Linked DNA regions of Tamandua tetradactyla. The protein of the gene in region 4 purifies or fractionates together with the protein of the main gene of each other region. This does not show direct contact. Links are inferred from orthologs where the notes say so. Each region holds a gene or a part of one and is shown on either strand. Other genes may lie near its edges.

The links.
Region 1: the proteins of SF3A2 (region 4) and PRPF3 purify together in Homo sapiens (affinity purification with mass spectrometry; 3 studies listed by BioGRID and IntAct, with this or other methods). This does not show direct contact. The link is inferred for Tamandua tetradactyla from reciprocal best matches to the Homo sapiens genes SF3A2 and PRPF3.
Region 2: the proteins of SF3A2 (region 4) and SNRNP200 purify together in Homo sapiens (affinity purification with mass spectrometry; 4 studies listed by BioGRID and IntAct, with this or other methods). This does not show direct contact. The link is inferred for Tamandua tetradactyla from reciprocal best matches to the Homo sapiens genes SF3A2 and SNRNP200.
Region 3: the proteins of SF3A2 (region 4) and SART1 purify together in Homo sapiens (affinity purification with mass spectrometry; 3 studies listed by BioGRID and IntAct, with this or other methods). This does not show direct contact. The link is inferred for Tamandua tetradactyla from reciprocal best matches to the Homo sapiens genes SF3A2 and SART1.

Annotation. Positions count from the first base shown.
Region 1 is NC_135330.1:5,492,093-5,500,070, forward strand, and holds the start of PRPF3 (U4/U6 small nuclear ribonucleoprotein Prp3), read right to left. Parts: upstream 3,014-7,978; 5' UTR 2,906-3,013; intron 2,890-2,905; exon of another isoform or gene 2,783-2,889; intron 574-2,782; 5' UTR 526-573; coding exon 381-525; intron 1-380. UniProt on the Homo sapiens protein: Plays a role in pre-mRNA splicing as component of the U4/U6-U5 tri-snRNP complex that is involved in spliceosome assembly, and as component of the precatalytic spliceosome (spliceosome B complex).
Region 2 is NC_135343.1:2,444,318-2,451,281, forward strand, and holds the start of SNRNP200 (U5 small nuclear ribonucleoprotein 200 kDa helicase), read right to left. Parts: upstream 3,004-6,964; 5' UTR 2,873-3,003; coding exon 2,828-2,872; intron 2,380-2,827; coding exon 2,216-2,379; intron 671-2,215; coding exon 499-670; intron 1-498. UniProt on the Homo sapiens protein: Catalyzes the ATP-dependent unwinding of U4/U6 RNA duplices, an essential step in the assembly of a catalytically active spliceosome. Plays a role in pre-mRNA splicing as a core component of precatalytic, catalytic and postcatalytic spliceosomal complexes.
Region 3 is NC_135335.1:8,561,500-8,569,486, reverse strand, and holds the start of SART1 (U4/U6.U5 tri-snRNP-associated protein 1), read left to right. Parts: upstream 1-4,972; 5' UTR 4,973-5,079; coding exon 5,080-5,395; intron 5,396-7,128; coding exon 7,129-7,189; intron 7,190-7,564; coding exon 7,565-7,620; intron 7,621-7,987. Other genes in the region: TSGA10IP (testis-specific protein 10-interacting protein), read left to right, coding at 2,737-2,836, 3,033-3,157, 3,844-3,985. UniProt on the Homo sapiens protein: Plays a role in mRNA splicing as a component of the U4/U6-U5 tri-snRNP, one of the building blocks of the spliceosome. May also bind to DNA.
Region 4 is NC_135337.1:80,639,762-80,646,625, forward strand, and holds the start of SF3A2 (splicing factor 3A subunit 2), read right to left. Parts: upstream 3,018-6,864; 5' UTR 2,528-3,017; intron 1-2,527. Other genes in the region: PLEKHJ1 (pleckstrin homology domain-containing family J member 1), read left to right, coding at 3,118-3,211, 3,336-3,403, 3,686-3,752, 4,557-4,647, 4,737-4,800, 4,906-4,971. UniProt on the Homo sapiens protein: Component of the 17S U2 SnRNP complex of the spliceosome, a large ribonucleoprotein complex that removes introns from transcribed pre-mRNAs.

The DNA.
Region 1 (7,978 bases), on a different chromosome or scaffold from region 4:
TTCCAAATAGTAGGAAAATTACCATTAAAATCTACCTCCCTCAACTTTCTTCATGCATTTCATAAAGACTTCTAAATGTTTAGATGTCAATCTGACACTATATTAATATATTTATCTAACTTTAGTATATTTCCTAAGTAAATATAACTTAGGGAGTCAGTCTGAGTTTCAAAATATACCAAAAATAATATATAGAAAGTAAGCAAAAGAACAAAAGCAAAATTAGTTATTCAGGCTATTTCAATATAAAGCAGGAGGGAATAAAATGTGGCCCGACCTTTTTTCAGATGATCCCAACAGAGAGAATTTTGGTTATGTTAGAAGCAATGTTTAAAGGGTCATCCTAAATGTTAGGTCAAAAGATTCAGAAAGGTACATACCAGCTGCCTTCTTCTTATCCATGCCCTTTCCCACACAGTTCAATGCTGCTGTGACCACTGTGGGCTCTGAGAAACCCAGCACCCTCTTCACTGTCTTCTCTATCCATGGTTTCAGCTCATCCAGCTCCCTCTTAGACAGTGCCATTCTTTGGGAAAAGTAGAAGGATAGATAAAATAGAACTTGATACTGCACCTAAAAACAAATCAGGAGAGTGGTTAAGACAGAAGATAGGAAAAAGTTAAAGTGACCCAGAGCAATGATTAATACATCAGGAAAGCCTTTCCCACCCATATTCTCAATCCTTAAGGAGGTTCCTCCAGTTTATTCAAAGTAAAATACTTTCCCCAAGAACCACACTTCAAAGCAGAACTAGATTCCATTTGATTATTATTTTTTTTTTTTGGCACGGGCAGGCACCAGGAACCGAACCCGGGTCTCTGGCATGGCAGGCAAGAATTCTGCCACTAAGCCACCATCACACCACTCTCCATTTGATTTTTAAACCTAACTCAGTAATTACCAGTGGATCAATGAACTCTGTGAAAGAAGTCAACCAACCCTGGGAATAATCTGGTCTAAGAAATGAGTTCTAGCTTTGTTTCCAATCTTGTCTTATCAACAAGGCCTGGCAAACGTATAACATGAAAACTAAACTGACAGACTCTATCCTGAAGTCAGCTTTTCTATTTCTTCTACTTCCGGGGATGCATTCCCTAACCCAATCCTGACCCATTAAAAGTTTTCTTTCTCTTAAGGGATGTCAATAAGCATTCCTTAAGAAATGACAAGCAAGTCATTTGGTACTAAAGCTCATAATCCTTAAGAACGTTCTGTCTCATTTCTCTGTAGTTATATTCATCCCTGTGGGAATTCTGTACCCAGATAACCAGTTCTCTCTCACGTTCTCTGACTTGATAAGAGTAATCCATCAGCTCAGAAAAGAACACCTTCATTCTGGATATACTCTGACCTTCTCCCTTTTCACTTCTATTTTTTAGCTCAGCAGAGAAACACTATGATAAAGGACTCTCAATAAAAAATCTTTGTATTTGTTATTTAATGCTAATTAGTGTTACTTTAAAACATTATTCATGTTTACATGTTGGTTTATCTAAATCTCAAAACTTCTCATGGGCATAAACAACATTTTATTTCTCTGATTTTTCTCTATAGTGCCTAAAAGAATAAATCACACTGATCTCAATTTCCAAACTAAACTCCTCCCAGCAGTACCATATATCTGGGAGTCAATCTTTCAAGATGTTTCAAGACATCTTTTCTCCTAAAAGACAGAGTCTGATTAATTTCCACATCCTTGGCAGGTTTACCCTCTGTAAGACCTATTGTCAAATAGTGAATTTAATTTTGGTATAAATAAATAAAGCTAGTAGAATAAAAGAACGAAAGTAAAGTTGAAGGTTGTATTAAAAACTGACTATGTTTCTCACTGACAAGTTAAATAAATAATTTATGGTGCTAAGTGAAAAAGCCCTACTGTCCCCAAATGAAACAGGCTTATCAATCTCTACATGTTAAATATCCATTACTCTAAATAGGCGTATTCAGGACTATAGTGGGTACACAACTCTGGCAACAAGAGCTCAAACAGGATAGAAATAAAACTAAAGAATTTGGACATCACCCTGCCCTTTACCAGCAACCTTGTGCAAGTTAATGAATAAAGCTAATTAATTTCTCTGAGCCTCAGTTTACTCCTAAACTGAAAACTGCCATATCTACAATGCACTTAATTCATTCAATAAATATTCATTGAGCAAGTACTATCAATCAGTGTAGTAGGCACTGAAGATACAAACAGCAGTAAATAAAACAGACAAGAATCCTCACCCTAACGGGGCATACAGTCCGCTAGAACTGAATCATGGACGAGAAAGTGGAAGCAATTTGAAAACACAAAGCAATAAACGAGGTACCATCATGGGTGCCCAAGCACTATACTAACAAACGCATTCAAGTTTAAACCGATCTTTCTTAAGATAATGTACAAATGAAACAGCTAGTGGACAAAAATTAAAATATTCAAATAGTAACTAGCTTTGTCACGAGTCAAATATCCAACAATAACTGCGTGGTGGTGGGGGGAGGGTGGAAGAAGGAGGAAGGCAGAATGATATCTGAATGGGCAGGCTGCAGAATTCAATCTTCCGAAAGAATTCCTTACTCCGTGCTCTTCTTTGCTAGAATCCGAGTGACCCCCCGGAAATCCTCATTCTTCTATTTTTACTCTCTCCTCTTCTGGCTTTAACTCCAGCCGACAACCACCAACCCCCCTTTTCCTTCCCAAACTCCTCACCTCATTACTAGTCTCCCACCCCATCCCCACCCCGCCCCCGCCCTGTTCCTCTCAACAATCCCATTTCAACCCCTTCTCCCACGGAACCTTAAACTTCTTCCAGCCTCCTTCCCATTGAACCCTCCCGTTACGACAGTCCCAGTGACCAAGCCCCGGCCCCAGTCGCTCCGACCGCAGGTTGCCACCTCTGGGCCCTGGGCTACAACTCACCTCACAAACTTCAGCCCCTGAGACGGAGCCCGAACGTTACACCGGAACCGGAAGCCCTCGGACCGCCTTACGGCCCGCCGTCCTTGCCGCCACGGCCGCCGCCACGCCGGCCCCCAGCACGTGACGAGGGAGGGGCGGGACTGTGGGTTCGCGCAGCCGTAGTCGCCACGTTCCTGCTGGTGTCCCTCATGTGTAGAGGGGTCCGAAAGGTCCTGCGTTCAAGTTCCCCGCGGTTTGTTTTCCCGGCTAGAGAAATATTAAGCAAATTGCTACAAAAAAGTTGGTGTTCCCCGAAGCGGAAATTGGGTTGCTAGCAGTTTTCCTCACGTAGAGAATAAGTGCGATAAACTGCAAGTGGAGCTTCTGCGTTCGAGCTCAAACACGGCCTTTCTGGTAAAAAGTAAAACCCTGTAGAATAAGTAGCCATTACTGGCATTTGCCACCCCACCCCTCCCTCAGCCTTCGCTCCCTAACTTAAGAGTAATCACAGAAATCACCCAGGAAGAAAAAGAGTATAGGAGAACTTTGGAGAAAATAGCCCACACCTCGCCCCACCCCCAGCTTGCCTTTTCGTTGATTCATTTATTGACGGAACAAATACTTATTCACCGCCTACCACCACGTGCCTTGCACCCTGTGAGAGTTAAGTATTGCTTAGCGACTTAGTAAGAGCACACGTTCTAAAACCGGACTGCCTGGACTTGAACTCCAGCTCTCCCACAACTGTGTGACATTAGGCAACTCGAGCCTTCTTTTTCCCCTCTCCTCACCTGTAAAATAAGATACTTTGAAAAATCCAAACGAGAGCCATTGATTGCACACTTGGATGGGTTGTATGGTGTGTGAATAAAACTTGGGGAAAAAAATCATAGGGCTGCTCGGGGGATCACATTCGTGGATAAGGGTAATATAGTTTAAAAAGTGCCTTCCGCAGTTCAATAAACGGTAGCTACAAGCCGTGAAACAAAACAGTATATCCAGTAGCCTGCATAAATATATAACAGATGTCTTAACTTTACCACCAAAACTGAGCTCCTGATTCTAACCCCCCATCCCCACCTACTTCCTCATCTTGGTTAATGACAATTTCATCCCTCTAGTGATGCAGGCCAGTAACCTTGGAGAGATCATGGAACCCTGTTTCTCTCCAATCCATCAGCAAATTCCACTGGCACTACCTTCAAAGTATGTACAGATCCACCTGCTTCTCATTACCTCCACTACTACAGTATTAGTCCCTGGATTAATATTGTAGGCTCTGAATCCCTTTCTCTTGCTTCTACAGCACAGTGATCATATTTACACATCAGAGAGATCTTATTACTCCCCTATTTAAAAACCATCCTGTGGTTTTCCATTGTCTCTAGTAAAATGCCCTAGAAGATCTGCCTCACTCCTTACCTCTATTATTGCTCTTCCCTTCACTCATTCAGCTTCAGAGTTCTGACCATTTTGCTGCCCCTTGAACTGCTAAGCATAATCTCACCTCAAGGCCTTTGTACTTGTTGCTTTCTTCCTAGAGTGCTCTTCAGGTGCCTACATGGTTTGCTTCCTCATCTTCAGAATTTTAGTCAAATGTTACTATTACTATATAATTTACTTATTGTTTATTGCTCATTGTTTGACTCCCTCTACTAGAATGCAAACTCCATTAGGGCAGGGATCTTTGTTTTGTTCAGTGATATATCCTAAATGTCCACCATAGCACCTGACACAATTAAGTACCTAATAATTATTTGTTGAATTAAAGGATGAATCTTTTCCAGCAATGTCTTGCTTGCCTCAGCGCCTGCTGAAGTTTGGTTTTTGCTTTCTAAAGGACGGAAGTTCCTTCAGGGCAAGAACTGTTTCATATTGTCTTAGGATCTAGAATAGTGCCAGACCCAACAAGTATTCAATTAATGAGTTAGACATGGCAATGGCAGTATTGCTTTCCACATTTTATCAGGAAGTTTGTATTCTTCCCTTTCTTCCAAACAGAGCTCTGATCCTCTAAATCTCTGATATCAAAAAGCATGTTTGCAGGCAAAGTATAGTTTGAAAAAGTGTGTCCAAAGTTATGACACAGTTTCATATGAGAAATGGGGAAAAAATCAGTTATGTTTTAGATTACAAATGACAAAAACCAAAATTCCATGATGTCTTCTTGGAATAGTAGTTTCGCCGGAAAATTAGTATTTCCCAGGAAGCATGGAATTTCTACATCAAATGACTGGTTTTAAACAGTTGAAGAAATACATGCCAAAACCCACCTTCACTGATAAGAAGGCACGATACAATGGGATAAAACCCAAGTCCCAGCTTTGCAGGGTTGTAATGAATCTTTAATTTTGTTTCAGTGCTCTTAACAGTCTGGGTTCAATTCCCCATAAGGAAAAGTTTTGTGGAAATTGATTTTATTTACAATTTTTGGAATCAAGATGGTTTTAAACCCTTAGTTTCCCAATTGTTCCCAATCACTAGCAGTGATTTCTTGGGGTAATTTTTATAAGACTGTTTCCTCAATCATACAATGAGAATACTATTTTCACTGTAAAAGAGTACTGTGAGGATTAAATATCACATAAAAGATACATGTAGTACAATGCCTGACACATAGTAGGATTCAATAAATCATTGCTAATTTTTTATATACTTTCAAGAAACATTGAGCATCTAAATGGGCATTATACTAGGTAATGGGACTAGAGAGGTAAAAAAGATGAAGATGCAGCCTCTGGGGAACTGAAAGTTAATAGAAGGAGAAAAACAAGAAATAAAGCACAGTATAGCATGATTATAGAAATAAACTGTTATTCTAGAAGTAAACTTATCAAGATACATAGAAGGACACCTGGTAGAGGGATCAGGGAAGGCATCTCGGAGAACATCCAAACCAAAAGTTGATATACAGGGGAAAAGGAGAAAACAGTATATGCCATGATCCCAAAGTGTGTTTGAAAGGGACAAATGGAGAGAGAGAAAAGCTGGGTTCAATCATGAAGGGCCTTAAAATCCCCTTTGGATTTTATCTTGAAAGCAATGGGGAACCAATTACCAGCTTAAGCATGAAAGTGACAAGAGCAGTGTTACAGTTTAGAATAATCATTCTGGCCAAAGTGTGAAAGGAATGGAACCAGACAATGAGGTAGGGGACTGATCAAATGGCAGTTGTAAATATATAGAAAAGTTGTGGTGGTAGCTGGGATCAGGGTTTTGGCATGCGGTCATAAAGCACCAGAGAGGACTGCGATTAAATGGATGCTAGGGATTGAGTGAGGAGGAATAAAAGATCAGCTTTCTGATTGGCACAGCTGAGAGATTAATTGCTAAAATTTATTGAATTCTTACTGTGTGAGATACTATAATAAGTACTTGACAGACATCATCTCATTTAAGCCTCACCACAAACCTGTAGGTACCACTATCTCCATTTTACAGGAAAATCAAGGACTTATGTTAAATAACTTGACAAGATCACTGTTGAATCCAGATCTTTTTGACTATTAAAAGATTATGTATGACCTGAGACTCAAGAGCTCTGAAGCTAAGAAAGTCAGCAGTACCCCATACAGGGACTGTTTAAAAAGTTGAAAAAGGGATCAGACTTTGAGTAGAGATATGAAGGAAGCTATCTGGACAGGATTAAAGTAGAGCAGAATACAGGGTAAAGGATGAGATCATCCATATTTTAAAACTTCAGGTTCTGTGTGAGACCAAAGGGAGAAATGTTTATTTAGTACAAAATTTAAATTTTTGGTAGCACATTATAATTTAACATGTATGGTCAATTTAGTTGAACACCATGCATACATGGAATCTTGAATAGGGCGTGAGATTTTTTTTTTTTTTTTTTTTTTTTTTTTTAAAGAGAGAGGGAGGAAAGGAAGGAAAGATGGAAGGAAGGAAAGGAGGAAGAAAGGGAAACATTTTTAAACATTTTCTTGTTTTATTATATTTTGTTTGTTTGTTAGTTTTTTACATGGGCTGGGGCCGGGAATCGAACCGGGGTCCTCCGGCACGGCAGGCAAGCACTCTTGCCCGCTGAGCCACCGCGGCCCGCCCCAGGGCGTGAGATTTTGTTGGTTTGTCCGGGTTAGTGTGATGCCCCAATATATCCCAGAGTAATTTGGGCAGTGAATAAAGAAGTATTTGCAAAGTCTCCTTGGGGCACTGGGGAGAAAGGGGGAAATATTCAACTTTCTGATTTGGAGAATTTCTGATATTCTCGCAAGCAATGGGGACAACTAAATCGATAGGCCGAGCTCTCGATTTTGGGATTCACCCTTATGAAACATTCCTTCAAAGGATAGGCTAAGCTTACTTAAAATTAGGTCTAAGAGTCACTCCCAGAGGTTCCATGAACTAGGGTAACTTTCCGGAAACTTACAACCTCCAGATGGGTCCCCGGACCAGATAAGTCCTGAAACCTAGAGGGCCCAGCCTCTCCAGAGCATCAGCTAGTTCTATCTCCCTACCCCATATTAGTGACAGCCCCTTCCAACATGAAAGAGTTAGAATGGCCGTAGCCCAAATATCTCTAAAGATGGGATAGAAAGATCAAAGATGATGGTGGTTGTTCTAGTTTGCTAGCTGCCGGAATGCAACACACCAGAGACAGACTGGCTTTTAATAAAAGGGGATTTATTTTGTTAGTTCTTCAGTGGAAAGGCAGCTACCTTTTGACTGAGGTTCTTTCTTACGTGGGAAGGCACAAAGCGATCTCTGCTGGCCTTCTCTCCAGGCCTCTGGGTTCCAACTGCCGTCTTTCGCCGGGGTGATTCCTTTCTGCATCTCCAAAGGCCTGGGCTGAGCTGCAAGTGCTGAGATGAGGTATGCCAAGCTGCTTTGGCTGTGCTTTGGGCTTTCTCATTTAAGCACCAGCCAGTTAAGTCAAATGTCATTCATTGCAGCAGGCACGCCTCCTAGCCAGCTGCAGATGTAAACCAGCAACAGATGAGGTTCACTTGCCATTGGCTCATGTCCACAGCAACAGAACTAGGTGCCTTCACCTGGCCAAGCTGACAACTGAATCTACCATAGTGGTTATACAGAAAACATTAAGGTTTAACAAATGAATATGACTGCTGAATC
Region 2 (6,964 bases), on a different chromosome or scaffold from region 4:
CCAGGCCCTGACCATTTTCATTAATGTGGACCAAAAATGACACTCAAGAGTCACACAACTTAATAAAGATAAGGTAAGTGGGAGGATGCAGCTTCCATGACATCTCCAAGTGGGAAAGGCACTCTGCCACCCTCCCCTAGCCTGTCACTTTTGGGAATTCTTTGTCCTCACTTCCTCTATCTCTCACTTTCCCAGAGCCTCTCAGAACTCTTAACCTAACCGTGCTTGTGTAAGGGCTAATAGCAGATTCTGTGAACTACCTGCGTTCCCATCCAGATACCTCCCCTGAGTCTCGGGAGAAGAATTTAACCATTCTGTGCTTCAGGTCTCTGTTTCATAACAGGGAAAATGAATAACAGCACTTATCTAAGAGAGTTTTTGCAAGGACCAAAAACACATAAAGTGAACTCTCAGTAATGGCCCACACAACAAATCCAAAAACAAGATTGTTCTGTGTCTCTCGGAACTGACCCTTTCCCTGGCTCTCTGATGCCTTACCTGGTCCCCAAGGGCGGCCTGGATGAAGCTGAGCAGCACCTCATAGGTCTCCCGGGTCTCTTTGGTCTTGGGCTTATAGATGATGCCCACCATCTCGTCAATGCCCTCTGACAGCAGGGTATAGCCCTTCATCTTGTTGATGTCATGCCGGTCCTCGTCACGCTTTCTTCGCCTAACAGACACACATTTGGCATTAAACAGGTAGACTCTTCCCTCTCCAAGGCAAAACCAAATCAAGACGGCACCCCTCTCTGTCTCAGCTTCATGGCGCACACCCAACATTTGAAAAGAAGAACCTACATCTCAGCAAATGATTCCATGTGCCCTTAGTCACCTGCGGGAAACACTTCTTTCTTTACTATATATTACTAAAGTAGTATAGGTTTACAGAAAAATCATGCAGAAAATATAGAGTTTCCATATACACCTGCCCCCACCCCATTATTAGCACTTTGCACTAGTGTAGTACCTTTGTTATAACTGACCAAAGAATATTATTATAATTGTACTTTATAACTGACATTTTTTGATGGGACACAGAAAAGGAATCCCCTTATTAGATACACTAAATTTACAATGGAACATTCCCCTCATTAATTAAAAGAAGACAACTCTTTACACTTTGTATAACATTATACCATCGGATTTTGACTTGTTTTTCACCGCTCAGAGGCATTTTCTTTCCCTACCTTCAAAAACTGAAGAGTCAAGATAAATCTACTGCCACTGACTCCCAACAAATTACAACAAAACTGGGACAGGCGGAATACTCTGTGAAGTAGAGGGCCAATGATATAAAACTGTTTGAAATGTAACTCCCTTAATCAAAACAGGCATAGGAACGTCTGAGACTTTATCACGAGGAGGAAACAGAGATGTTCAGGGGCAAAAGATAATGGTTTATTCGAAAGCTCCCATCCAAAACTTTCCTTTTCCACCCATTGCTATTTCCAGCACGATTTAAAACTGGAATCCTATCCACAGCAGATAGTTATATATGCTTGTCTGGCTTAAGGAGAAAATTAATTTTGCACGTAATTCTCCCCAGTGATCTGTAAGACAGGCCATTCTATTTCACCTTTTTTCTTTTCTTTTTTACAGAATATGAACCCACACCATTCTATCATTAAAAATGTCAAACTATTTTAAATGTTCTTGCTTAGATACTGCAAGTCTAAAAAAGCAAACTTTTTCTGGAGGGACTTAAACCCTGCAAAATAAAAGTTCTACATGTGTCTCTAAAAAAAAGATAATGGTGAGATAAAGTCAATAATTATTTAGGTTTTGAAATATATACCCCAAGAAGTACTCAAAAAAAAAAAAAGTTTTTCATACCAGTGGACGCTTAGGCGTTAGCTTAAGACTTAAAAAAAAAAAAAAAGTAGGAAGTGAGGAACAGCAAAGGAAAGTAAGGGCAGGAAGCCAGCAAAGGAATTAGAAAAAGAGCAACTGACTCAAGGGTCTCATAAATGCTGTGAAGATGAAGATGTCTGTGGACCAGAAAAAGATATGTTAGAAAAAGTTCCCAGAAAGTTATTTTCCACTGCAGCCACACTTGTTAAGGCCAAAGAACCTTTTAACTTTCAGGTACTGCTTTTACTTCCACCAAGGTGTCTGAATGACACTGACCTGTCTCTTGCACCAGGCGTTTCAGCAAAAATTCACTGAGAAGGGACTCTGATCTGGAGAAAAAACCTAGTATTCGCAGCGTACTCACTTGGCCCTTCTTTCCTCCTGCATCTGAGGTTTGGTCCGCTGAGCCTTATCTCCCATACGCGTGCCCTCCAATTTCCCCACCAGGGACAGCACCTCTCCTGTGGGTTCATCCCGGCGGGTGCGGTCAATAAGAGACCGGTCAGCTTGGAGGACAAGATTCGAATTCTGAAAAAATCACAATTTTATCGCAACTTTGACATCAGCTGGGCCGATATCCTATAACACAGGGATATCAACTGATGATGATAAAGGAAGGAGGCAGCTGTAGCATTTTATAAAACTGCACATGGGGCGAAGGGCTGAACTAAGTTCTATGGCCTGTCAACTCAGTCCAACCATCCTTACTCCTAGCAGAGCCCATAATAGGCCATAGGGAAAAGAGTGGGGGCCCGGCGGAGGGGACCTGTGCAAGGGGCAGGGAATGAACCCTCAGAGCCCCTGGCCAGGCCCGCCCGCCGCAGCCCCCAACGGGGTTATTCACAGCGCCGTGGACCCCGGTTTCTCCTCGGGTTTCCCGGCTCTCCCGTCGGCTTCCAGGCCGCAGCTCTGTTTCTCAGCCCCAGGGCCCCATCCCGCTCCTCCGCCCCGAGTCCTCCCGCCAGCCCAGACGCACCGCCTTGTACTCGTACTGCAGGCTACGGGCGGTCACGTCCGCCATGGCCGCGGCTGCCCCGCGCCCTCAGCGGATTCCTCCGCCTCACACCACACAGGGAACGGCCGCCGCTCTCCTGCCCGGAGAGATCGAACCACGCAGGAGAGACGCACAGGAGCAAAAAAAGAGAGAAATGGCCCCCTTCCGCTTCCGGGTCGCGCGCCGGAAGTGCGGGGAACGAGTTGCAGGCGAGCGCGCGCCGCCGTGTCCCGGTGTCTTTGTGGTCCCCCGGTGCCCGGGCCCCGCGACTCTAGTTCCGGTCTTGCCTGGGCATGAGCGCCCTGTCACCCCCGGCCCCTCAAATCCTGAGGAAGCGCACACCTCCGGCAGCCCCCGAGATGGGAGAGGGGCTCAGGACACACTAGGGGGCCGCTCGCAAAGAAAGAAGTCCTATTATGGTTGGCTGGTGAGCGTGCCTCTTCTGCGTGGGTGTTGTTTTCCTCTGGAATCGGACCCAGGCCTCCCCGCCTCCCCGCCCGGCTCTCTGCTCGGGAGCCCTTGAGCCGCGGTGCTGAGTGATTTTCGAAGTTGCTGCCCATGTGAGCTTTGCGAGGTTCTTCATCCATTTTTCTTAAATTCTGAGTAAAAGTTTGTCACTCACTGTGTTTTTATGGTACTTGAAGGGATGAAGGGATGGAGGGGTTCCAGAAAGAGTCGGAGTGGGAAGGGCTGCGTTATGGAGGCGAGACCCTGAGCCGAGGCAGGAAATGAAGTGAAAACAAGGAATTGGTGCAAGAAGCAGCGGCGGGGAAATGTGTCCCGGAGAATTCTCAGGCTCCTGGCAGTAAGGAGGTAACTTGTCTCCACGACATGTAGGGCGAGGCTAAAGCCAATTTATTGTAAGATTGAAAGAAAGACATACAGATCCAGGGACTAGAACTGAGAGTACAAAAATAAACCCGTGCGTTATGGTCAATTGAATTTTGACAAGGATGCCAAGATAATTCAAGGAAGAAAGAGTCATCTTGTCAACAGATGGTGCTGGGACACCTGGATAGCTACACGAGAAAGAACGAAGGTGGACCCCTACATCACCCCTTATGCAGACTTTATCTCAAAGTGGAGCACAGACATAAATGCAAGACCTAAAACTATTAAAATCTCTAGCAGAAGACAAAGGAGTAAGTTTTTGTGACCTTGGATTAGGCAATGATTTCTTAGATATGTCACCAAAAACAAAAGACAAAAAGACAAATTGGACTTCATCAAAATTTAAAACTTTTGTGCTTCGAAAGACACCACTAAGAAAGTGAGAAGATAACTCACAAAATGGGAGAAAATATTTGTAAATCATACATCTGATAAGAGACTAGTATCCAAAATATATAAAGAACTCTTACAAATTAATAATAATAATACAACTCGGAGATTCAGAGGGAGCAGAACAATGTAGCCATGAGATGCACAGAGTCTACCAGCCAGCAATCTTTGGAGGTGAAGAAGGAAAACGCCTCCTGGGGAGCTTCATGAAACCAGAAGCCAGGAGAGAAGGCTAGTAGATGATGCCATATTCGCCACATGCCCTTCCAGCCGAGAGAGAAGCCCTGACTGTTCACCATGTGCCTTCTCACATGGGAGGGAAACCCTGAACTTCATCGGCCTTCTTGAACCAAGGTATCTTTCCCCAGATGCCTTTGATTGGACATTTCTATAGACTTGTTTTAACTGGGACATTTTCTCGGCCTTAGAACTGTAAACTAGCAACTTATTAAATTCCCCTTGTTAAAAGCCAAAACAAATAAATAATAATAATAGTAACACAACTCAATTGAAAAATGGACAAGGGATTTAAATAGACATGCTTCCAAAGAAAAGATCTAAATGGACAGTAAATTTTAAAAATGCTCAATATCATATGCCATTAAGGAAATGCAAATTAAAACCATTTTAAATAACCACTACACACCCTCTACAATCTGTTTAATAAAAAGACAGACAATAGTAAGTGTTGTCAAGGATGTGGGAAAATTGGAGCCCTCATATGTTGCTGGTGGGATTGTAAAATGATACATCCACTTTGGAAAATAGATTGGCAGTTTCTTAAAAAGCTAAACAAAGTTACCATATGACTCAGCAACTCTACTCCTAGGTGTCTACCTAAGAGAAATGGAAACATTTGTTCACACAGACACTTTTACATGAAAGTTCACAGCATTAATTTGCAATTGCCAAAAAAATGGAAACAACCCAAATGTTCAAGTGATGAAGATATAAACAAAAAGTGGTATATCCGTACAGTAGAATATTATTTGGCAATAAAAAGAACTGTAATATTGGCATGACCCCCGTAGGGCTGGGGAGGAGGCTGAGCTTGCAGCTTGAGGGGGGTGGGGGCCCCGGACTCTGTGTCTGGAGAAGCGATGTGAGTGGAAGACTCAGTCCTTCCCTGCTGCTCTGATAATCAGGACTTTGGGCTGGACCTTTGGGCACACGCCGAAATCGCACGGAGCCAGGCAGAAAGCACACATGTGGGCTGACACGGATTAATAAGGAGCTCGGCAATTTGGCCCATGGCACACCCTCCCCCCAGCACAGTGTTCTGCAGGTCCAGTTGGGGACGAAAACTTTCATCGACAGTCCGCAATTCCAGGACCTAACGACAGCTCATAGCAAGGCGGTGTGTTCTTTTCGACAATTCATTTTCCTACAGCCCACCTCTCCAAAGAGTCAAGGTTGCATTTACCACAAGAATTTATCATCCAGATATTGACAGTAGCAGCGGCACTTGCTCACTATTCTAAGATGACAGTGGTCTCCAGTGTAACTGTTTCTGAAGTTCTGTTATCCATGTGTTTACTGCTGTGTGATCTGAACCCAGATGAACCCCCAGTGCCAGAGATGGCAGCCATCTGTGAAACAGCGATAAGTGCAGTTGAACATTTCGAGGATGGATTCAGAAGTATGCCATGGGATGAAAGTCAGAATACCTGCATTATAGTAGGAATAACTTTAATGTTTCCTTTTTTAATTTTCTTATCCAGCTGCTCTCCTGTCAGACTTCATCTTTGTGTGTGTGTGTGTCTGTATGCACTGAAGGGTGGGGGTCACATTTCATTCTTTTTTCGTATGACTATCCTGTTATTGCAGCACCATTTGTTGAATTTTGGGGGTGGGGTGCAGTGGGGAAGTGCATGGGCCGGGAATCGAACCCCAGTCTCCCGCATGGCAGGCGAGAATTCTACCATGGAACTACCCTTGCACCCCCAGACTTCATCATTTAAACTTTATTTTTGCTTACCTCCCTCCAATCATTCCATGCTCATCTGAGAAGACTTAAGTTCTTCCAGCTTTGGGCAATGACTGCTTTTAGAAACTGTAAGGTAGTTACAAGAGAATGGCTGCCCAAGATTCAGAATTATTTATAAAAAAAAAGGAAGCATGTGTATTATGTGCCCAGGTCTTTATTCTAACTTGGCTGTGAGACTGAAACCACTCCCCACTGCTCTGATGTACCGAAGGCGTCATCTGGGTGGGGGCCCGGACAGGAGATGGACGTTCAGTTGTCACATTGGAGGACACAGGCTTACCCCGTAGCAGCACCCGTGCTTGTCCAAGCCGTCCACTGCTGGAGAGCTGAGGGCACATGGTGACCCTAATGCTCATAACTGATGTGGCTGTAGAACTGGTATTGAATTTACAGCATCAGCAGAACAGAAAATGTGATGTGCTTTATGCCTGTCCATGAAGGGATGACTTCTTGTTCTACAGAAAATCGAAATTGGAAGTCATACACACTTTATATTCCAAGATAGGGTCTCAAACATTTTATAATTTTCCTTGAAATTATTAGGAAGCTTGGAGTTATTACTTACTCTATCTTCCAATATACTGTTTAATATAGCACTGAATAACTGGGGCAAATTGTCAATGGATGAATGGTCACCTAATAGCGCTGCTAGCAATTTATTTATTTTTCTTCAATAGAATTGCATAAGCCAATGAGTTAGTTGCAGGGATTAATCAGTATGGGAAACCACCTATTGTAAATTTAAAGCTGTTTCTTGTATATATTTTTGGGATTTGCTTCACTGTTTGACATCAAATGTAAAGCTCAGAAGAGGGACTATTTTGCCATGTTCAGTTAAAGTGTACAGTCTG
Region 3 (7,987 bases), on a different chromosome or scaffold from region 4:
ACTTGTAACAGGCCCACGAGGTAAGGATTATCATCACTCCTGTAATTCTACCGATGAGGAAGCTGCAGCTCAGAGACCTTAAATAATGTGCCACGGTCACAAGTAAGCATCAAAGCTTGGATACCAACCCAGCAGCCTCTCACCTGCTGTGCCACCTCGGAGCACTCAGTTCCCACTCTGTAGGTAAAGCACACCAGCTGCTTCCCCACACAGCCCGAACTAATGAAACAAATCACCCAAAACCATATAATTGCTAATGCACTGAGTACATACTGGGTGCAGATGGCACCAGTGCAGCCCTGTCCACCCCTGGTCTCCTGTGTCCTGGGAGAAGGTCACAGCGAGCAGGTGCTGCAGACAGAGGAGGGTCATGCCCTCAGCAGGGCTGCCAAAGACCAGGTGGACTCTGATGGCCTGCTCTTTAAGACTCTTATCACCCCTGTGCTAAAGATAAAGGAAACTGAGGCTCCAGAGGTCAAGTGTGTTTTCTGGCCAGTGGTTGGAGAGATGCTGTCCGCTTGCCAGGCCTCAAGTTCACAGCTTGTCTGTTTTCTTTTTATTTTATTTTCTTAAAATATATTTTTAAATTTATTTATTAATTTAAAAAATTAACAAATGAAATAAAAGTTAACATAATCAGTAATTCACAATATCATCACTTAGTTGCATATTCATCATTTCTTAGAACATTTGCATCCATCCAGAAAAAGAAAGACAATAGAAAAAGAAATAAAATGAAAACAGAAAAAAAAAAAGATTATACCTACCACACCCCTTACCCCTCGCTTTCACCGATCACTAGCATTTCAAACTTTTAAAAATATTTTTGTTGACAAAACAACATATAAACACATTCTTAACATATGAACATTCTGTACTTAGTGTACAGTCAATGGCTCACAATATCATCACATAGTTGGGTATTCATTATCATGATCATTTCTTAGAACATTTGCATCACTCCAGAAAAAGAAATTAAAAGAAAAATCTCACACACACCATACCCCTTACCCTTCCCTCTCATTGACCACTGTATTTCCATCTACCCAATATATTTTCACCTTTGTTCCTCCTGTTTTGTTTTTTTTCCTATATCCCTTACCCCTCCCTTTCATTGATCACTAGTATTTCAGTCTACTCAATTTATGTTAACATTTGTTCCCCCTATTATTTCTTTATTTTTTATCCATATTTTTTACTCATCTGTCCATACCATAGATAAAAGGAACATCAGACACAAGGTTTTCACAATCACTCTGCCTGTTTTCTTAATAAGGCAAGCAGTGTAAGGTTCAGAACACCAAGGGGCAGATGTTGGGCTCAGAAGGGTGTCACCTGTGCCCCTTTGATCGTTTACTAAAGAGAGGGCTAAGGCATGTGCAGGTATTTCCGGCAAGGTTTCTCAGGCCTTACTGCAGTGAACTTTGCCCTGGGACTGGAGACCCTGCCCTGCCTTGGAGGGGCGGGCAAGAGAGGTTTGGCCACAGTGAGGCCTGTCAACTGGGTCATCCACTGTTACCCTGTGATAGGGAGGCCTGATGTTTTCTTCTCATTACTGAGATGACAGGCAGGGCTGACAGCCCCTGGCAACGCTTCCTCTCTCTTCTGGGGCTCCGAGAGGTGGCCGTCCTCATTTCTAACAAAAATAGCACGGAGCGATGAGCAGGAAAAATGCAAGCCAGGCTGGAAGGCAGCCCCTCGTCTCCCTCCCCTTTCAACTGTTGTAAATTCCCTCTTGATTGGCAAAGACCTCCATCTTTTTTTGCAGTAACTCATATTGCTGATGATGGGGTTTCCAAGTCTATTTCTTTTTCTTGGCTCCTTCCCTTGGCACATGGCCAAGGGTCCTGGCCCAACAAGGCAGACTTTTTCCAAAGGGCACACCTGCCAGAGGTCTCAGCCCGAGTCCCGGGTTATGCCTGCTTCTCCCCTCCTATGCCTTCTGTGGCTCCTCCCCCACACCAGGCAGCCTCTCCTATGTGCTTTGCAAAGGGCCACTTGTCCCCATATGCTGTGGCCAGAGGGTCTCTCTTGCTGCCAAGATGCTCTTATCACACAAGACAGTGCCTAGTTTGTTGAGCAGGTAGATTCTGGCAAGTGCACAAACTGGGTTTTTGTAAAAAGAATTGTGCTTCCCCAGGAGAATCCCGATTTTTCCAGGATGTGCTGTTTCATTTGCAACACATCTCTTTTGTTTCGCTGTCTCCTTTTCTGAACAGCCTATTTATAAGAACCACAGAAAATGCTGGCAAGCTCGTCCAGTACCCGTAAGAGCCCAGTAAAAGTAAAAAGTGCCCAGACCCAGAAAGGGGCACTGCCTTGTTCAAAGTCGCACAGCCAACAGCCTCCCCAGAGCTGAAGTGTGAGGGTGCAGGGATATGGCTGCGGGCAGGGAAGAGCTGTACAAGCAGCTATCTGGGGCCTGAGAAGCCAGTGCCGGCTCCTCTCCCTTGGGGAAGGGGGGTGACTGGGAAGCCCCCACTACCCAGCTGTGCTACGCTGGACCAATCTCTTGACCTTCCTGAGCCTCTGGCTCACCATGAATAAAATGGGGTGAACAATTCCCATCCTGCTGACCTCCAGAAGAATCTAGGGCAAGAGTGGGAGTGAAGGAAAGCTGGGGAGCACATAAAGCCTTTAGTGAGGACAAATAGGCTCAGGAGTGGGGGTGGGTTGTGCCCAGAGGGCTGGCGGGTCTGGGGCCAGGTTAGCTGCCCAGTGGCCTCTCCTGTGCAGGCGCCAGGAGCGACAGCGCTTTGCCGAGTACCAGGCGGAGCTGCAGGGCATCCAGCACAGGGTGCAGGCCCGGCCCTATCTGTTCCAGCAGGCCATGCAGGTGAGGCCCTGGGCAAGCACAAGGCTGTTCTCTGAAGACAAAAGCTTCTTCCTGGCTGAGTGGGGGTAGGCAGCAAGGTGGGGACTGGGCCCCCCCAGGCTGGTGCCCACCTGGAAACCCAGGGAACCCACCCACCCCCAACTGTGGCCAGAGCCCCACTGCATCCTTGGCAGGAACCCCTCTTCTTTCTTCTTAGGCCAATGCCCGGCTCACTGTGAGCCGGCGCTTCTCCCAAGTGCTGTCGTCACTGGGCCTGGATGAGGAGCGGCTGCTGGCTGAGGCGGGCAAGGGGGATGTGGACAGCAGCCCCAGGAAACCCAGGTGAAGTCGGCTGGCTGGCCAAGTGGCTGGCTAGCCCAGCCGTGGGGAATGGGGGAGGAAGCACTCCCTCTCCCTTCCTCTCCCCCCTCCCCTCCCCTCTCCCAGCCTAGGGGGACATCTGGGGGTGGGGTGGCGGGAGGCTGAGAAACTCCCTGGGCAGCATTTTGATCACCCTGGATGGAGGCTTCAGGACTGCCCTGCCCCATTCCCCTGCCTGAAGGATTCTGCCTGGCCCTGGCAACGAGCAGAGCCCTCCCGAGGCCCAGTTGTTCTCCATATCCCCAGAGAGGGAAAGGCCAGGGTTATTCTTGCCACTTCTCAATGAGGAAACTGAGAATTCAAGACCCAGGACCAAGTAAGCAGCCGAGCCATTTTGGGTCACGGCAGCCATCTGTGCAGCCATGCGTCAAGCCTCCTTATGGGGCTGGTGCCACACTGGTTGCCCTATGTCTACTGTCCCTTACTTCTGCAGAGCAGGGCTCCTGAGGTCCACTCCACAATAAGGAAACTGAGGCTCGGGGAGGTGACATCCCTTACCCAGGGTTACACAGCAAGCTAGCACAGGAACTGGGATTTGAACCTACGTTGTCAGACACATGGCCTTTTCCCTCCTAGCGCCGAAGGGTGGGGAGTGGAGGGTACAGCTGTGGCGTCCTGTGGCCTCTATCTGTGTCCTCATCTTTAAGGAGCCACAGACCATCAGGGCTGAGAACAGAGCCCTCTTCTCAGAGCCCCCCGAGGACACAATCCAGACATGCCGGCAGCCAGCCTGACTGGCGCTCTGCTCCCAGCCGGGACCTGGCGTCCAGTCCCCCAGATCAAAATTAAATGATCTATGGAAAATACAGCGTGGGATTTCTGGGGTGGACAGGGGGAGGGAGATCTGCTAGTTGGTTGTAGGAGGTGGCAGGTGTCTGCCCCCACCTCCCCCAGGAGCTGACTGTTCTGTCTGCTCAACCCCCTCCCCCAACATACACACAACCCAGTCTCTGAGGGGTGGGGAACCCATGCCCAGTCTCCAACATGGAAGGCACACGTGGTCCTAGGAATTCAGGAGTGAACAGGACAAACAAGGCCCTTGCCTTTGAGGATCCCCAGTGAACACTGGTGGTGGTAGTGGTGGTGGGGTTGATCTTCAAAGCGACCTGCACAACAACCATAGCAGGGGACTGACGGGGAGCCGCCGGAACCCAGCAGCGGAAATGAGCAATTTTGGGTAGGGGGTGTCCGAAGGATTGTGTGAACTGGGCCTTAAAGTTATAGACCCCCCCCCAAAAAAGCAAAACAAAACCAAAAAAGTTACAGACCCCCTCCTCAAGATAAAAACAATGGCCACACACAGATGCGCCATATTTTGCACTCAATTTTCAAGGGATTCAGACACAAAAGCTCGTCTGGAGCTTCTTGGCAGTTCACAGACCCCAGGCTGAAAAGCCCCATCCAGGGGACATCGAAAGGCAGCGATGGCTGACTGTGGTGGTTACAGAAGCCCGGAGCGGGCTGAGGAGCTGGGGGTCTGCAGGAGGTCACGCTGCACTGTTCAACACTCGATGGAGTCCACTAGGAGGACGCCTGTCCACGGAAAGGCCGTGAGGCAGTGGGCACCGCGTGGCTGCAGGTGACACAAGCCAAGGCGGGGTTTCCAAGCTCTGGGGTTCGATCTTCCGCAGACCCTGTTCGCACACCCAAAGGAACGCATGCGCAGTTGAGCCGACTGAGCAAACCTCCCTCGCCTGCAGCCAAACGCACTTTGGGGCGCCGACCTCGGCCTTCCCGTGAGCCTCTGGGTCAGCCTCCGCGCGACCGACGGAAGCAGCCGCTCTTGGTTTCCGGCAACACGGCAGCCGCCGGGCGACCCGGAAGCGTTCCCATTTTGCGTCGTCGGGGCTCGGCGGCGGCCCGCTCGGGGCAGACGTTCCACCATGGGGTCGTCCAAGAAGCACCGCGGCGAGAAGGAGGCGGCCGGGACGACAGCGGCGGCCGGCACCGGGGGCACCACCGAGCAGCCGCCGCGGCACCGGGAGCACAAAAAACACAAGCATCGGAGCGGCGGCGGCGGTAGCAGCGGCGGCGGCGAACGAAGGAAGAGGAGCCGGGAGCGCGGGGGCGAGCGCGGGAGCGGACGGCGCGGAGCTGAGGCCGAGGCCCGGGGCGGCGCGCACGGGCGGGAGCGCAGCCAGGCCGAGCCCTCCGAGCGGCGTGTGAAGCGGGAGAAGCGCGATGACGGCTACGAGGCGGGTGAGGAGTAGGACCTGCGGAGGGACGGGGCCTTCAGGGGTCCCGCCGCGTGCGGGCCTTGGGATTAGGGACAAGTGCTCGCCGAGCACCGCCCCGGGTTCTCTCCGTCAGCCCTAGTTACTAAAGGGTCCTCCTTTGAGGCTCTCTAGAGACCTCAGTTGTCTGTCACATCACAGGCCTTAAATTGATGTGTTGAGTAAGTTAAAGGATGAATGAATGAGGTCACTATAGTGTGTGCAGATTGTCCTTAGGGCAGCAGGGAGTCATGGATTTCAGTTGAGAAGTGAGATGATCAGATTCACATTTTGTAAAGTTCGCTGCTTGGAGGGGTGGATTCAGAGTAGGCAAGACTGGAGGCAGAAAAACAGGTGTGGGCTGATGTTGGACAGTGCCAAAGCAGCAGCAATGGAATAGAGCCCGGAGACAGATGGAAGAAGTGCTTAGAAGTCAGAACTTGGATGAGGGTGGTGAAGGAAAGGAATTGAGGATGGCCCGTTGGATTTTGACCTGAGCATCTAGGTTGGTGGTGGAGCTGTCTATTGAAATGGGGAAGATGAGAGGAAAAGCAGACTTGTGGGAGGAGGGGAATAATAAATTCAGTTTAGGGGCATATTGAGTTTGACATGCATGGAGAAACACAGGGTCAGGGCTGAATAGGGTCATTTGCGGGGGTATGAGTATTTGGTTGACAAATGAAGTCCACTGAGAAAGAGTGAGGTGTGAGAAAAAAGGGTCAGGACGGGAACCTGAGAAATGCCAACGTTTTAGAAGTGGGCAGAGGACAATGCTCCAAAAATGCAGGTAGAGGAGCCAAAGGAGGAAAACCAGGTGAGTCTCAAGCATGAGGTCTGCGGGAAGAATGTTTTTGTTTGTTTGTTTAAGATAGTGGTTTTAGAAGGGGAGTGACATGCCACAAGAGATTAAGCAAAACCAGAACTAAAAAATAGCTAATAGGTTTAGAAATGGGGCTGTTGACCTTGGAGAGAGCTCAAAGGGGTTGGAATCTTAGGCCCAGGTGGAGAAAGGAACCTTTGGATAAAGAGGTAGGTTGATAGGGTGGGAATGCAAGCCAGGTGGCAGCTAGCTGGGGTGTCTAACTTCTCTCTGTGATGTTCAGTGAAGTAATTTGCTGTTTGTGAAGTGGGTGGAAGAGGACTGAAATGCTTTTCTGTCTCTGTTCCCAGCATCCAGCATAACAGAACTGGCACTAAAAAGTGTTTGCTTCTTGATATATGAATCACATGTGTAGATTTGGTCAGCCCCTGACTCAGTCATGCTGCCCTTATGGTCCCTGTACTGTCAGGGAGAAACAGCCCCAGAAATAGTAACCGTGCTATGGGTTTCAGGAGAGAGCAGTTAGTTCTGATCCAGTAATTGACAGGCCTTCACAGAGAAGATGGTGTTTCATCTTTGCATTTGGGTAGGATTTTACAGTGCAAACAAGGCCAGAGCGAGGGCAGTGCAGGTTGAAGGTGCAACGTACAAAGGTAGAGAGGTGGCAGTGTGAGGGAGGGATGCAGAAGATTGGCCCTCTTGGGACAGAAAAGGGAAGTATGTAGAAGCAGGATTCTCAGAGGCTGCAGCTCAGATAGGAAGAGTTGTTAGGAGGAAGACTGTGAGGGAAGGCCACAGTTGCTGCTGTTTGCAGGTGTCTCAGCAAGGCTCAGGTGCTGGATAAGGGATGCTGGCATCTTGACCCTGGTTCAGCTCCTAAGCCACATTTCTTGTTCCAGCTGCTAGCTCCAAAACCACCAGTTCAGGAGATGCCTCATCACTCAGCATCGAGGAGACCAAGTAAGTATTGTGTTCCTTGTAGTTCTATTTTTTTTCCCCCCTGAGAGAAGTGGCTTCTGGGGTGATTGCTTGTGGAAGCTTTTACATAATAAAGCATTCTGACTGGAGTTGGAAGGGCCATCTCAGTCCTCTTAGCCAACTGTTTGGGTTATGAAGAGGAAACAGAAACCCAAGTGACATTCCACTGGTGAGGGGCACGCCATGCCCAGTACCGTGTTCTGTGTTCTGGAGGCCAAAGCCCTTCCCAGTGCCCCCATGATTGGGAGCCTTAGGAGCATTCATTCTCGTCCTGTTTTCACTCTCTTTTTTGTTCAGAAATGCATTTGATGTCCTATTTCTCTGACAGCCCCTAACACTTGTGCCTCTCTTCCTTAGTAAACTCCGGGCAAAGTTGGGGCTGAAACCCTTGGAGGTCAATGCTGTCAAGAAGGGTGAGTGTGGGGCTGAGGATGGGGTGAAGGAGGGCTGTGGGTCGGGGAAAGGGACCATCTGAAGGGGGTCTTTGAAGAGTGGGGTTAAAGTGCAGATTCAGTACAATTTAGTGGTTTCATGTGTGTATGCACTTGCCCGAAGACACCCTCCCTGCCCATCACGATGGGATTCTGGGACTCTCCTTCTGTAAATTTGAACAGCTAGTCATTGCATACTCACACTGACTGAGAAGTGATATTACATGGGCTGAGAGAGGGGCACAGTTACTGCAGATTGCTCTGGGCCGTAGATGTTGGTTTATTATTATTATTATTATTATTATTTTGAGGGGTTTTTGGAAGGTGTGGAGGGTGCCGTCCTGCTGCA
Region 4 (6,864 bases):
CAAAGAAAATTCTAGGACTATAGCTTTGCTGCAAGGCTACAAAGCAACCAGTACAATTTGGGCAGGTCTGAGAGGGGAGTCTCCAGGGGAAATATAGGAATCAACTTATTTGAGCTCATGGAAAATACAACTGATAGGAGAGTGAGATGTCAGGAGAGTGAGATGTGAGAACTTTGGAGGAAGAAACGGTAACAGGTACAAAGAAAACCAGGCAGAAATGCCTAGAGTGTATAATAATAGTGAAATGTACAAGGTACAATTTTAAAAATGTTTTTGCATGAGGAAGAACAAAGGAATGTCATTATTGCAGGGTACTGAAAATAGATGGTAATTAATATTTTAAAATGTAACCTTCTGTGTGAGACTAAAGCAAAAAATGTTTATTAATTACAAAATTTATATTTTGACTAGTGCATTTCCTAATATAACTTATGTAGATTGATTGATCGCCATAAGTGCTTAGACTCTCAGGTAGGACATGAGATTTTGCTGGTTTGTCCAGAGTGATGCCCCGATGAATCCCAGCGTGATTCGATCGTGAGTGGAAAAGTATCTGCAAAGCCCCCTTCGGGGAGTGGTGAGAACGGGGAGAAATTCAACTTCCCCAAGTTGAATTCTTGATATTCTCACAAGCAGAGTGGACAACCAAAGCTATAGGCAGAGCCCCCAGTCTTGGGGTTTGTTCACATGAAACTTAACCCCGCAAAGGATAGCTCAAGCCTACTTAAAATTTAGGCCTAAGAGTCACCCCCAAGAGAGTCTCTTTTGTTGCTCAGATGTGGCCCCTTTCTCCAGCCAACACAACGAGCAGTCTCACCACCCTAACCCTCTCTATGTGGGACGTGACTCCCAGGGGTGTGGACCTTCCTGGCAACGTGGGACAGAGATCTTGGAATGACTGGAGACTCAGCATCAAGGGATTAAGAAAAACCCTAGAACGAGCTCAGATTTAGCATCAAGGGATTGAGAAAACCTTCTCCACCAAAAGGGGGAAGAGGGAAATGAGACAAAGTGTCAATGGCTGAGAGATTCCAAACAGATTGGAGAGGTTATCCTGGAGGTTATTCTTATGCATCAAGTAGATATCATCTTGTTATTCAAGATGTAATGGAGAGGCTGGAGGGAACTGCCTGAAAATGTAGAGCTGTGTTCCAGTAGCCATGCTTCTTGAGGATGATTAAATAATGATACAGCTGTCACAATGGGACTGTGTGATTGTGAAAACCTTGTGTCTGATGTTCCTTTTATCTACCTTGTCAACAAAGGAGTAGAACATATGGAATAAAAATAAATAATAGGGGGAATAAATGCTAAAATAAATTTAGTTTAAATGCTAGTGATCAACGAAAGCAAGGGGTAAGGGGTATGGTAGGTATAATCTTTTTTATTTTCTTTCCTGTGTTCGTTTTATTTCTTTTTCTATTGTCTTTTTAGTTCTTTTTCTGAATTAATGCAAATGTTCTAAGAAATGAATATGCAACTAAGTGATGATATTGTGAATTACTGATTATGTATGTTGTTTTATTTTATTTTTAAATTAATAAATAAATTTTAAAAAAAAGAAAACCAGGCAAACAGGAAAACAAGGATTGATGAAAAAGTAATGGTAGACGAAAGAAGGCACGCCTTACAACGCATTAGCGACGAACCACACACATTTATAGTACTAGAAAATACAACTAAGGGTTTGACTAAAAGTTGCAATGTAATCGCAAGGTTTGGACGCAGATGTTGCAGCGCGTGGGAGAAGTCAGTTCTCACCAACTACGGTGGAAAAGCAGCAGACTGTGACTAAAACTGGTAAGTCCAGAAAGAAGTTAATTTATTTACCAAGACAGAGAACAGGGAGAACGGCTTTAAAAACATGAAAAGCGGCCTCTGAGGCCTGAGACTGCATGAAGGAGTAGGGGTTATAGTGCCCGATGAAAATACGGTAATTTCCTTAAATCTAGCACACTTTTCCGCAGAGTTCCTCCCAGGTTTTCCACCTGCCCTCAGGGACCACAGATCGGCGGTCACGGGCCATCAAACAATGACTACCTGGGCGATCAGGTAACCTCTGGGCTCATATGCAAAACGGGCCCGCTAACATTTCCTGGGTGCCCTCGGAAGGTATTCCACGCTCTCCCTGACACGACCTGATTTAATTTAGTAGCGGCAGTGATCGCCCACACCCCTCGTCTTACAGAGACGGAAACTGAGGTTCCCAGACGCGAAGCGACACCCCCTCCCCAAGGTCCCAAAGTCCGACAGCTAAAAGGCAAGTTTTGTCTCAGCAGAGGGCTCGCCACACCGCGGCCCCGCCGGGAGGGGACAGGGTCTGGGGCGTGTTGGCCTCGCCCCTCCTGGGGGCGGGACCCGGCCTCAGGCCCGCACAGTGAGCCCGAGGAAGACCGCTAGGCCGCTCGCTCCTCAGCTCGCGGCCTCCAGCCGCGCGGCCCGTCGCAGATGCCCCCTCCCACACGCGGAACCCTACAAGGAAGCCCAGGACCCAGAGCCCACCACCATCATCCACGCCGCTCCTCACCAGCGTCCGAGGGAGCACAAGCCGTCCCCGCTTTCAGTGGTCGCCACGACCTCACCCGCGCGCGCGTCGTAGGCTAAGAAAGCATTTCCGGGGGCAAGTGGGGCGGGTCCTGCCACGTGCGCATGCCCGGCTCGCCCGGCGGCTCGGGCGAACCGCTCGGAAAGCGCGGGAAGAGGGCGGGGCTGGGAGGCCTGGCTGGCAGCCGCAGTGCGCGTGCGCACAACTTTCAACGCCCTCCGGATTTGCTCCGCGTCGCGTGGGGGTCAGCCCTCCGGGCAGAGCCCGCTGAGAGTCCTTCCCGCCCGTACTCTCCGCTTTAGTGAAGGATGCTAGCAATCGTGGGGTGGACCTGATTCTGTTTTCACCCCAGGTCCAGTTTATTCTGTGACCTTGTAACGACCGTCCAAGTCCCCTATGCACCCCTCGCCTGCGGACCCCATCGCTACACTCAGGTAATCGACAGAGTGGCCGGCCAGGGAGTGCGCAGGCGCACTGGCTGTGGCAGCACTTCCGGTACTGTGCGTTGAGACCTTTTTGGCGCTGGCCGCAGGCGACGGACCGGGGTCCAGCGTTCTCCCTTCCGCGGCGCCATGCGCTACAACGAGAAGGAGCTGCAGGCGCTGTCGCGGCAGCCGGCCGAAATGGCGGCCGAGCTGGGCATGCGGGGCCCCAAGAAGGGCAGCGGTGAGCGGGGCCCGAGAAACTGGGGCGTTCGGCTTTCCGCATTTCGGGGGACCCGATTAACTGGATGGCTGGGCGCGGGGCTGGCCCCTGGGCCGCCCGCCCTGAGCCCGCTCTGTGCCCACAGTGGTGAAGCGACGGCTGGTGAAGCTAGTGGTAAATTTCCTCTTCTATTTCCGGACGGACGAAGCCGAGGTAGGGGCGCCGTCCGCGGAAAGGGGGAGGTCCCAGGAAGGCGGGAGCAGAAAGGGTGCGCGGGGTACAGTCTCTCGCCCCTCGGCCTCTTCACTCCCCCAGATCGTCTGACCCAGGGGTGCCGTGGTTTGCTGGTCGAAAACCATCTGTCTGCATCCTTTCCACCTGGAACCTGCCGCTCGGCTGGGGAGGGAGCCGAGGTCAGGGGAGGTACAAGCCTCCTGTGAAGTGGGGGCCCAGGTCCTGGCCTGCTCTCCGCATCTGCTCCTCTGTCTCCTCCAGCCCATCGGAGCCCTGTTATTGGAGCACTGCAGAGTCGCCAAGGAAGAGCCCAGCGTCTTCTCCATCAGTGAGTGGGGCCAGGGGACAAGGACTCCCCACCATCCCCTCCCCAGCCTGACACCACCTCTGTCCCGACACAAAGTCCTTTTTCTCAAGGTCGGCTCTCTGAGGCGCAGCCTCTCCCTTCAGGCTGGGCCTCCCCCCAGACTTTGCTCTCTCCCGAGGGCCCCAGGCTGCGGTCACTGGGGCTGATTGCATGCACCCAACCATCCTGGAGACTTCGTAGCAGCCTCCCAGAACTCCATTTGGACCTTGTCATTCTTTAGGGTTAAGCATTGCCCTCTTGGGGCGCTTGGGTGGTTATCTCCCTCAGTGTTTGGGTTTGTGCTGCCTCCTGAGAGGATTCTCCCCAGGCCATCTTCTTGAGGGTCTCACATGTGCAGGGACAGATGGAGTCTGGTACAGAAATACCCAGCCTAGTGTGTTTAGGGTTGGGGTTGGGTGTGGGCAGGAAAACTGCTGGAGGTGGGGACGTTGGAGCTGGCCTTCCTGGCGGATGAAGGCCCACGATCAGGGCCGTGGTGCTAGCGTCCAGTGTTACCAGTGCCCCAAAGGAAGCCTTTGTGTTCTGTTCATATCTTGAGAGTTAATGTGGAGAGCCCAGCAGTGTCAGGAAGGCCCAGGCTGGCTGTGGCATGTCATCCCAGGCCTTGCAACTTGGTTCACCTTGAGAACTGCCACGGGTCCCTGGAGCAGGAAGAAATGAGCCTGGGCTGGGGCTGGAGCCAGACGGCACATATGGACACTGGTAACAGAAGGCGGGGGCATGTGGCTGCTGGAATGGGGTGACCAGAGGCTGCTCCCTCTGCAGGTTTCATTGAGGACCCAGAAAGGAAGTATCACTTTGAGTGTTGCAGTGAGGAACAGTGTCAGCAGTGGACAGAGGCTTTGCGTCAGGCCAGGTGGGGTGCAGTGGGCAGCTTGAGGCGGGTGGGGGGCAGCGCAGCTCTGCAGAACAAGCCCCGTGAATGCACGTGGTTTCCTCCCCCAGCTACGAGTTCATGCGTAGAAGTTTGATCTTCTACAGGAACGAGATTCAGAAGATGACAGGCAAGGTGGGCAAAGGGCAGGCGGGCAGGAGTAGGCAGTGGTTGGGGTTGGCCTTCTGGTAAGGGCCCTGGGCTCACTGCTGCTCCCGACCACCCCATTCACCTTCCCAGGACCCCCTGGAGCAGTTCGGCATTTCCGAGGAAGCCCGGTTCCAGCTGAGCAGTTTGAAGGCATGAGCCCCCCCAAGACATGCACAGCCCTTGGCTCGTTTTGCCCTGGGCTGGGTTGTCAGGTTGGCCCAGTTTCCTGGCCAGGCTTGGATTTGTGATGGACTATTTTATACCCCCTGCCTTTCCCCTCCTTGGAAAGCCCAAGGCTGTGTGGGGATGGGCAGGGGCTAATTTTCTGGAGAAACACCCCAGCACTCTTCCCTCTCTCATGCCTTGGGACCACAGGACAGGGTTGGCACCTCACAGTGGGTGCAGTGAACTGCTGCTAGCATGCTGAAACAGACGTCCACATGATCGTTGAAGCTGGGCCCTTGGACCCCCTGGGAGGCAGGGTTGCACCCCTGGCCCCTCCAGTACCTCCACTGAGGGCCTAGCAGGCATCTGAAGGCTGGTGCTACCCTCCTGTGCCAGCCACACGTACGAAGTCAGAAGATGCTGTGAAGCACTTGGGGACGGCACATGCCCCAGCCGTTGGTGAATTCTACTCCTGCTGACAGGGCTGCCCCTACTGGGACTCTGGGTAGAGCTAGGGTGGGTTCCACCCCCTGCCGCCAGCTGGCATGCTGGCTGTGTTAAAATAAACATACCTCTTTTTCCATACTTTTCTTTCCACTGGACAGTGGTGAAATGAATGGAGCACACGTTACAGACCAGGAACTGGACCTACCACAGGGATGGAGGGAAGCCCTGTGGCCCTGGATGGGGCTCCAGGGCCTTGTGGGGCTTCTAGCGCTCCCAAGGGAAAATGAGGGTGGGGGACTGTGCGGTGGGCAGAATCCTGAGATGATCCCAAGGTCTGACTCCTGGGGCTTGTGGCTTCTAGCCAGTAGTGTGAATGTGAAGAAATTCTGCCAGTGTAATACAGGTCCCGTCAGCTTTTTTTTATTACTTAAGGGAGATTGTGTGGGGTTGGCCTGACCTAATCAGGTGAACTGCGAAAGTGTTCCAGGCCCTCCCTTGTCTGAGATCGGCCCCAGCTGCCCCTCCCCCCCCCCAGTAGAAAATGACTTCAACCCTAGGGAATTCTGTGTACATCTTGAGGAAGCTTGCAGGCAGGTCCTTCCCTCAGGCCTCTGATGTTTGCAGAGGGCCAGGGCAGAGGCCCAGGTGTGCGTGTGGCTCCAACCCACAGGAACTTGGGAACCTGGGCCCAGGTGTCCAACCCACTACTACTGCAGTAGTAGTGTTCCCAACTACTGCATTTGTGGTCATCTGGTAACATGGCACCAAGCTCATACACGGGGGTAAGGTGGGATGGGGGGGGAGGTCAGGGTCAGAGTCCCAGCAGGTTGGCCACAGGATGGGGCCCACCCCACACCTGACCTGGTTCCCAGGTGTGTTGTATGGGAGAGGGACTCAGGCCTGGGGACCTCCCTGTAGAGTGGGGCTCCAGTGGGGCCTCCCCACCTCCTTGGCTTTTCCTACCACACCTATATTGTTGGTAACGTGAGACACTTCTATAAAAATAAGCCCCTTTTGAAAGGTGCCTATGAGGAGGAGATGGAGGTCAGGTCAGCTCAAAGCTGGATGGCTGTTGACAGGCACCTGACGAGACAACAGAGGCCCTCTAGCTCTTCTAGGCACTGTCAGCAGTCACAAGTGGAAGACAGTCCCTGCAAGGAGGAAACACCACCACTCTGACCACAGCCAAGTGAAAACAAATATTTTTATTTCAGCGTCTGGAGGTGGAGATGAGCAAGCAGAGGGGTTCCCACAGGGGAGGAGGTCAGGCCAGTGGGCTCCGAAGGTGGCCCAGGGCCAATACACGCCATTAAGATGCAAATAGAAAGGCGAAGCTTCACTGCAGTGACACATGAAGCTTGGGGAGATGAGAAGCAAACTAGGCTTGTGGACGGGCCCATCGAAGTAGGGATTGCAGGGTAGGCAGGAAGGCAGGTT